2 linked regions of the Nothobranchius furzeri genome follow. The protein of the gene in region 1 interacts with the protein of each later gene in a pairwise test. Links are inferred from orthologs where the notes say so. Each region holds a gene or a part of one and is shown in the gene's direction. Other genes may lie near its edges.

Region 1 (4,314 bases):
TGGATGAATTTTACAGACTGGAACAGGAACGATTTGAGGTGCGTGAAATAAACAAACACAACTAGGAACATATTGTTGTTCTGGAATTGTCTAAACCTTTCTTGTATTCACTCCCTAGTGTATCTATGGAAAATATCAGTAACAAACTACAACTATGTCTGCACAACCTGTCTCCATAAAATCAGATTCTTTCATAAATCACGATGAGATTATAAGAGATGGTCAATTGAAAGTCCTGTGGTAATAATGTTTTTTTACTTGTGTGTTGTGCAGGAAGCTGAAAACAATCTGAGGATAGTGCAGCACAAACTGAGGGAGAAGGAGAGAGATCTGATGAGAGGATCCTGTGAGAAAATCAAACACACACTAAATGCTTACTCAAACCCATTTGTCCAGTCCCAAAACTCTTGTCTTTTGTCTCTGGCAGTGAAAGATGAGGACTCTGACTTGGATGTTCTAGAGGACGAAGGGTCAGACAGCGACCTTGAAGAATCTCGACCCTCTAAGCCACGACTCATCAGAAATGGACTCATGGCAGGTACGCAAACAGGCTATGACTGTGGTAAGCCTGACATATCTGGCTTTTACTTAAGCCATCATAATCTAAGAGTGTAAACAGTGTGGAGGGACTGAAGCTGACCTTCTCACCCAAGATGGATCAGGCTGCAAAGATGTATATAAATGTTCCAAGTGAAAATGTAGATTCTTAAGAGCAGGCTCACTGAGAAACCTTTTTTTTACTTAACATTTTTGAAAATGACTCTGAATATAACATGCAGGCTCAACCTGAAAATAGTCTCCTACACCTATCTCCTGCATTTGCTTCTGATAGAAAATGGATGGAAAAAGGTTGGAATCAGAAAAGCCTGACAGATCTATGTCACACTGTCACTTAACGTTCATGGACTCGCCCATCTGGACTCACAGCGGGGAAGGCTGCTGTTGTTTAGCATTCAGGAAAGAGCAGAGCTTGTCTTGGCAAGTAGAAGTGAACCGTTAGCATTAGCAACTCCACCACACAGCAGAACTCCTTAAGTCTTGTGTTATCTGTGGAGATCAAACATCAACGTTGCACAGCAAACAGAGTCAGTGGTAGAGTCATGTTGCTGTTAGCCAATCAGTGGAGAGATGTCCAAATTTCAGGACAAGACTCCAAAGCCTTCTCCTACTTTCTACTCCGGCTAATTTCTTTATCCTCAATCAGGTGCACCGGAGCTTTTGTTCCCCAGAGAACAACTTACAAGGCATTAATTCCCACTAGAGACCGCTGAACATGTATTAAAAACTTGTTCTTTAATTCTATGCCCAGAGCTTTGATTAAATTCTTGTTCAGAATCCTTTTCTCTTACAAATTCGTAACTGCTTGTTGTTTTTTCTCCTTCTCAGGGAGAGGAGGACATTTTATCGGTAACATGCAAGGTGGTGACAGTGATGAGGTCAGTAATATCTTAGACTTTCTAATATTCCTCCATTTTTGTACTTCAAGTCTTTCTGTTTGCCACTAGCACCTCTAAGTGGTTCTCGCTGTGACTGACTCTCAGCCCATCTTAATTGTCAGTCTGCTCTCCTGTATCCTATCATGGCTTCAGATTCATTTTTTATTTCTGTTTGGTTTCAAACTTTTCCTTCCACTGAAATTTTTGTAACTTATCTGTGTTTGTTGTTTTCTTGTTGTCATTCACGTGGTTTTTAAAAGGTGTTTTTATCAGCCTCCACAAGGTCAACCCGCCATCACTTAAAACAGCAGAAAGCAAAGGTTTGTGGAGGCCATGGATCCCATCGACCTGCCTTTGTTCCCTTCCTATGTTCCACTCTCCACATCACAGTTTGTGAACAGTAGATCCTCATCTGTGTGGTCAGTGGTAGCTAGTGAAAAAAAAATCTAGGTGGCGTTATGTGTGAAAAGATTTTCCCTTGAATCCATTTTAATATTACAATTGAACTGTTGGAAAATGACTACAGTTTCAAAACAATCTTTTATTTCCCTTCTCTAAATAAACTGATTTACAGATAAAGCCAAAGTAAAATTTACAGATGAATTAGACTATAATAATACTCAAATACACAAGCCTACCATGAACACCTTTCTACAAAGCATGAGCAATTGCAGTCATTTTTGGCCTTATTCACATTTTATTTTGACATTAATTTGTTTTCCAGCTTGAGTTTTCTGCATCAGTGTGTCTTAATTAATCAAAGCATGCACACCTCAAAGCGCAATACTCAGTTCCACCAGAAGGCGACGCTAACAGAACATAGAAATTTAGTTAGATATCCTGTTTTGACAATTTAAATCACATACAATAAGAACAAATAAACACACTTTACAGCAGAAGGTACATGTTTGATGTTAGCGCTACCTATATAAACCAGCAGTGAGTGAGTGAGTGAGTGAGTGAGTGAGTGAGTGAGTGAGTGAGTGAGTGAGTGAGTGAGTGAGTGAGTGAGTGAGTGAGAGAGTGAGAGGGAGAAGATCCAGCCCCTTCTAGCATTCTAGCTAGCCATTTCCTGTAGCATGGTCACTATTGGCTGGAGACATAAAATTATGTGATGCGTATTGGTCAAAAATGCCCCAGTTCTCTCTAGCAACCACCCACGATTGGCTGTTTTGCTGCAGTTCAGGGGCCCAGTCCCCCTGCAGTGATATTAGTGAGGCTGTTTGATGAGAGACTGCTGGTGAAAATGATGAGTAAATCATTCAAATTGCATTTTTTGTAAATATTTGGATATGTGTTGTAGGGGGGATTTTATTTTATTTTTTAATTTTTTTTACACATTTTAGAATTTTTTTCTCCATTTACGTCAGGGAGGATGTGGAAGAGCCGCCACTGTCTGTGGTGTTGTTCTATGCAGATAAAAAACATTAGGTGTGTGTTGTGTTAAATTGTGCTATTTGCTTATTAGACTGTGCCATGTGAAGCAGTAAGGCATTAGCTGTTCTTGTGTTTAGTTGGACACAAAACTCCTCCTGGCTTCTGTTCCTTTAAGTGTTTTTGTGGATAAATACTTCAGACAACTAACATTAAAACTGGATTCTTGAAAACAGACTTGAGCTTTTGGGTGATTACTTATTGTGTTTTTTATGTTTGCTGTACATTTCAGACTGAAGATAGTGAGATTGATGTGGATGATGATGATGAGGAAGACGATGAAGGTGAAGAGGAGGAGAGCATTGATGACAGTTTGAACGGCCTGCTGTCGAGGGGTAACCATCCTTCCATAGGAGGCACAAGATCCCCTCTGCTGGAGGAAAGTGACAATGACTTCTGAGATATGAGCAGTTTCCATGTGCCAGCTCCAGTTAGTTCGTGTTGTCACATCTCAGAAACATATGTGAGCAAGTCCTATTTACAATATAGCTTCTATTCGTTAATATAAATAAAGTTATTTTATTTTAAAATGTGCTTGTGTGTTGGTGTTTTTTTCCGCCTGACAGCACGATGGATTTGAAGTGTCAAACTTAAAAAAACTATCAACAGCAGATGAATTTTATCTGAAAGTCCATCCATCCATTTTTAGCCGCTTTTCCGGAGTTGGGTCGCGAGGGCAGTAGCCTAAGCAGAGAGGCCCAGACTTCCCTCTCCCCAGCTACTTGGTCCAGCTCCTCCGGGGGAATCCCAAGGTGTTCCCTGGCCAGCCGAGAGACATAGTCCCTCCAGAGTGTCCTGGGTCTTCCCTTGGGTATCCTCCCAGTTGGACGTGCCTGGAAAACCTCAAAAGGGAGGGCATCCAGGAGGCATCCTGACCAGATGCCCGAGCCACCTCAACTGGCTTCTCTCGATGTAGAGGAACAGTGGGTCTACTCCGAGCCCCTCCCAGATGACCGAGCTTCTCACCCTATCTCTAAGGGAGAGCCCAGCCACCCTACGGAGAAAACTCATTTCAGCCGCTTGTATTTGCAATCTTGTTCCTTTGATCACTACCTAATGCTGGTGACCATAGGGTAAGAAACCACATTGTTCCCTCTGAATCCGAGGTTCAAGAATCTGGCTGACTCTCCTCTCCAGAACCCCTGAATAGACCTTACCAGGGAGGCTCAGGAGTGTGATCCCCCTGTAGTTGGAACACACACTGCGGTCCCCCTTTTTAAATAGGGGAACCACCATCCCAGTCAACCAATCCATGGAACTGTCCCCGATGTCCACGCGATACTGCATAGCTGCATCAACCAACAGCCCCACAACATCCAGAGCCTTAAGGAACTCTGGGCCTATCTCATCCACCGCTGGGACCATGCCACCGAAGAGTTTTTTTGACGACAATATCCTGGTAGAATGGAGAGTCCAACCCAAAGTCCCCAGCCTCCATTTCCTC
Region 2 (5,014 bases), on another chromosome or scaffold:
GAGAACAACAATCTACCGGGCCCTAAGTGGTGTTTTGTCACTAGCCAGACTGCTCAAGTGTTCACCAATATTCTAGACGAGTCTTCATGCCCACCGGGAACTGAACATTGCATTATAACAGGTTACTGGTCCCAGGTAACCTCAGGTTAAAGGTCACTAACTCCAGGGACCATACTACACCTGCTTTTTAAAAGAGTGTTCAACAGGTTTATCCAGGCGATTACCTTCATGTGTGCAGGAGCAGCAAACCTGCAGCACGTGCAGCATGGTGGCCCTGGAGATGGGCCCTGCTCCAGTGCAACTCTGAGCCCAAAAGGGCCTTTCAGTGGAAAAAGTACGACCGAAAGAAAGTATTTTATCTGAAGGAACAGAAATTTAAATCCCTGTTGCAGTTTGGTAAATTTGGAAAACTGTAAATGAATGATATAGAGCCCACGTGGCCTGCAGCTGCAGCACGTGGTGGAGCGCACGTGGCTGCTAGCGGAGCTAACAGGCCACTGACCGAGAACCCGCTCTCTCAAAGTTAACTACACTAAACGCTGCTGGAGCTTATGAAGAAAACACGAGTCCACAGAGCAAACCCTTAGTTCTGTTATTGAATTAAACCCAACTACTAAAGCATGTTGGACACGTGGAGGGATTTGTTTGTTTTAACTGGCTCAGACGCTGCCAAACCTCCTCATAGACCAACTTAGGAATTTTTTTTACTGCGATTCCTTCTGCGTAAAACACGCTTGTACGTGCACGTGGACGTGTTGTTAATAAAATCCCTGACTCAGCAGAATTATGTTCAAACTTAGCAATAAATTAAACACAGACTGTCGCTTACAAAACGTGCTCGACACTCACCAGCTTCGTCCGCCATCTTCTAATGAAAGATTCTTCTTCTGCTTGATGTTTTATGGCGGCTGGCACGAAAGTACTTGGTGCACTACCGCCACCAACTGGTCACAGAGCAGAAATGAAACCAAATGAGGTAAATAAATAAATGAATTTGCTATTTAAATACAATTTTTACATAATTAAATATAAAATGGAAAAAAATAAATGTGAAAAATAATTCTGACTTTTCTTTCGGTGGTTCTAATGCTCTTCTTTAATTAACTAGCATCCTGGGGGGAAATAAACACTAAAAAAGGCCAGTGATATTTGGAGTCAGATAAGTCTGTCATTAAGTAGTGAGACACAGATCACTGGTGGGCCTCTAGTGCAATAGTGTGTTAAAAAACGGAAAAAACATGAGATGACTGCGGATTTTAGAAGAAACGGGAACATGCTAAATGCTTGTTCCATCCTGGGAGAGAAGGTGGAGGTGGCGGAGGAACATAAATACCTCAGTGTCCACCCGGACGGCAGACGGGACGGATCAGTGTTTACAGTTAACCCCAAAATCCCACTATCTCCGCGTAGTGGAATTTGAGTGTCCACAGCTGCAGATCCAATAAAAATACTTCCTTTTTTATTGTTTGATAAACGTGTGTCCACTCCAGGCCAGGTGGGGGCAGTAATGCTGCACTGCTACCACCCACAAACGTCGAAGAAGAAGAAGACTCAGCATAATTCAGCTGGATTTTATGCGAGAACTTCAGGATCAGATGGAAGGTGAGGATCTTCTTGATTAGTGAAGTAGTTTTTGTTCAGGTCTGAATAACCTGCAGCTTCCGGGTTAAAACATTCTGATGACGTGTGGATGTTTTACTGCAGGGTTGTAAATGAAACCCTGCAGAACCCAGCTGCCTCATCAACATTCACTAGGACAACTTATTTAGATCGTTCCTGTCCGCAGGTATTCTGTCCCATTACTCGTGGCCACACTGCTCCAGGTGTTCTTTCTCCAGATGTTTCTGCTCTTATCACAGATGTTCAACAGCATCTAGATCAGTTCAGAACAGTCCAGTGCTTGGTTCTGATCCATTCTCGGTGTTCCTAGCTGTGTTTTCTGATGATAGACTCTGGACAGTAGATTTGGCTCCAGAGGGTCTTGGTGGTCCTGGGATTGGACCCTGAACCTTTTCAGGAATCCTTGGTCCAGGTGCAGTGAGTCCAGAACAGAACTGATCTTCCTCCATCTTCTACAGTGTTTCTAGAGCCGATTTCCATCTCATCAATCAAAATGATGCTCTCCCTGAAGCTCGTCAGTGTGGTTTTTGGTGATCTCTAGTCTGTTCTTTTGGGTTTTTCTGTCACCAGGAATCCTCCTGGGTCTTCAACCCCTCATGGTGGGATCAGAAAGGCTTCAACAGTCCTGGATGCATTGTTTGTCTGATTCTTCCTTCTGATCAACCTGAGAGTGGATCTCATCTCGGATCCACGTTCTTAGTGGTTGCCCACATTCCCATCAACCTCCTACTTTATTAAAATTGTCAGCTGAGGTCCCAGGACCATGAAGCTGCCTGGAGACGGTCTATGAGCCGTGGCCTTTAATACCCCTGACCTTTGTGAGCTCATCTGACAGCTAATGTTTCTGTGGTCCAGGTTCAGTTTGGCCCAACCAGCTGCAGCATGACTCCTCAAACGGGTCAGATGATGGCTGATGTGAAGTGAAGTTAAACCAAAAGGACAAATGTCTCTTTAAGGGGGACAAACCTGTCTACCCAAGCTAGTTTAGCAGATCTTTGTATGACAAACAAATCATTTCTGTGTGTGTGTGTGTGTGCTCCGTTTCACTGCATGAAAGGAGAAATAACACAAATTCACGGTTTCTAGGTGATTCTTGTGACACCTCAGCGACCCCATCAAACAGGAGGTGCACCTGGATCACAGGAAGTGCAAGGAAGATCAGAGACAACGCCGCTGACTGGCACAACCTGATGCTCAGGTGGGACAGGCTGAACGACGAAGGATTCAATTTGGCAGCAAGTATCGTCAACATGAGGCAGTGAGTTTGTTATTTAGGTTATTTTTCTCTAAGTTAGCCCCCCCCCCCCCACACACACACACTAGATACCCTCTGGGATCCAGATGAGTAAGGGTGGAGATAACTCGTTTTCTTTAGAGCAATCATAAGACGGAGCTTTACTCGTTTGTCTACATTAAGCTCTAAGCGGTCGGTTTTTAAAGACTCATAAATCAGAGGGATCATCAGCTGTGGTGATGTTTATGTCTTCAGTTCTCAGGGAGATCTGCTGGTGTTGGACACGTGTCCACCACCGTCACAGTCCACATCGGCTGAGGCGCAGCAGGTGGCTGGAGCTGCGGAGCTGCAGGATGAATGCCTCAAACTGCAGGATGTCGTTGACAGAATGGTGATGCTTCATTTAACCTTCATCTGGCACGGTTCCATAAATCAGGAGTTTATATGTTGAGTCTCAGAATAAAATAGTTTTTCTAACCTGATAAACAGCTGCTGTGTGTGGAAAGCTGCGGTTGGTCTGGGACCGTTTAATTCAATCTCACGTCAAATAAATGACTTCTGCTCATTTAGTTTTCAGTACGTAACCCTGGTTCACTCCAGCCACGTGTTTCTTCTGCTCAGGTTGTTGTGGTGAAAAAGATGGAGCACCTGGTGGAGATACAGCGTGGCGTTCTGCAGCTGGAGGAGTTTCAGTTTGGTCCTGAAGGAAGACGTGTCCCTCTGTGTCTCAGCTGGAAGACCCGGGAGTTTGGTAGGTCCACCTGAAGCTAACACGCTGACGTCACCTGGACGGGGTTCTGCTTCCACGGGGAAAACTACCAACACCTGGCATCATAAACTGAGCAGGAGGAGTATATGCTGATTATGAGGTGGTCCAGTTGTCTCTATGGCAACAATCTGATGCTGCTACCATCACAAACGCATGCTTTCATGCTGTGACCTCAGACGTTCTGATGAGTGATCCACTAACTAGAACTCTGATGATAACAAAGACCTCCTGTTCAGTCATCACCCACGTCTCCACTCCTTGTGGAGGAGTTGGTGTTCCCGGTGGTCCTCTGGAATGAGAGCAGCAGGTTCCTTTGGCGGTGGAGATGCAGATGTCTGGACACACATTAGAAAATAACTTCAATTGTCTTCCAACCTTTGATGAATCCACTGAACCAATAAGTTTAATATGGTCTGTCTGCTGTTTCAGAGGAGATGTCTGGTGTCCTGCTGGCTGCCTTCAGTCAGGAGCTGAAGTTGAAGCAGACGATTCTGCAGGAAGTCGCCCACACCATGACCTCTGACCTCTCCAAGGTCTATCTGTCCTGTTGGCTCCACCAGCCTTTCATCCCAGCAGCAACCAGACTTGGACTAGAGGCTCTGCTGCTGGAGACGGGCCATCGCCCACTCTAGACTGGCCTGCTGTAGTGAACCCTCCTGTGGTCCGTGGGAGCGATGGTTAGGGTGTAGACCTGCATTAGAGAAGTTTTTATGATTGTCCTACAGAAGAGCAGCAGGAATCAGAAACTGGGTATGAAATCCTGCACATGTTCAGCAAAACATCTCATAACAAATGCTTCTGTCTTCACCAATGCCATGACTCAGGTCCGGTCATCCTGGAACTCCTCATACCTGATTAGTTATGGTTCCTGAATGCACAACGGTTAAGCAGCAGAAGCATGTCGTGGTCAGTGAACGCACCACCACCAAAGGCTGATAGTTCTGAAGTGATCAGATATCGTGCTTGTTCCGCACCATCAGCAGGTCAGAGCTGGGCAACAACTGGAGGTCTGAGCAGCTCTGAAACATTAGATGATCGCTAATAAACTGGTCTGAGACGAGCGCGGTTATCCTGAAGCTTTGCTCCTTTCTTCATTTAACCTTTTTAAGTTGTGGTTTACATTTGCAGTGTTCTCTACTGTAAGTCAATGCCTCACGAGCAGTGTTGGGCAAGTTACTTCAAAACTGTAATGCATTATTTATTACTTGTTACCTTCATTTTAAAGTAATTCATTATATTACAATATTACTGATTTAAAAATGTACGGCATTACACTACTTTTGCATTACTTTAAGTTACTTTCACCAAAACAACTTCAATATGAGTCTGGTAATGTGACGTTCAGCGAGCTCATGACATATATGTGGAAGGTGATGTGGTGTCTGAGCTAG

Evidence for each region.
Region 2: the proteins of cluap1 (region 1) and cinp interact in binary tests that used the Homo sapiens proteins (3 or more experiments, as listed by UniProt). The two-hybrid records come from large-scale screens. The link is inferred for Nothobranchius furzeri from reciprocal best matches to the Homo sapiens genes CLUAP1 and CINP.

The regions. Positions count from the first base shown.
Region 1 is NC_091748.1:64,768,410-64,772,723, reverse strand, and holds the end of cluap1 (clusterin-associated protein 1 homolog), read left to right. Parts: coding exon 1-38; intron 39-273; coding exon 274-346; intron 347-427; coding exon 428-538; intron 539-1,386; coding exon 1,387-1,436; intron 1,437-1,696; coding exon 1,697-1,756; intron 1,757-3,102; coding exon 3,103-3,270; 3' UTR 3,271-3,404; downstream 3,405-4,314. UniProt on the Homo sapiens protein: Required for cilia biogenesis. Appears to function within the multiple intraflagellar transport complex B (IFT-B). Key regulator of hedgehog signaling.
Region 2 is NC_091758.1:16,265,491-16,270,504, forward strand, and holds cinp (cyclin-dependent kinase 2-interacting protein), read left to right. Parts: upstream 1-1,446; 5' UTR 1,447-1,574; coding exon 1,575-1,602; intron 1,603-2,706; coding exon 2,707-2,878; intron 2,879-3,109; coding exon 3,110-3,245; intron 3,246-3,475; coding exon 3,476-3,605; intron 3,606-4,052; coding exon 4,053-4,255; 3' UTR 4,256-4,748; downstream 4,749-5,014. Other genes in the region: H/ACA ribonucleoprotein complex subunit DKC1, read right to left, coding at 850-865. UniProt on the Homo sapiens protein: Component of the DNA replication complex, which interacts with two kinases, CDK2 and CDC7, thereby providing a functional and physical link between CDK2 and CDC7 during firing of the origins of replication.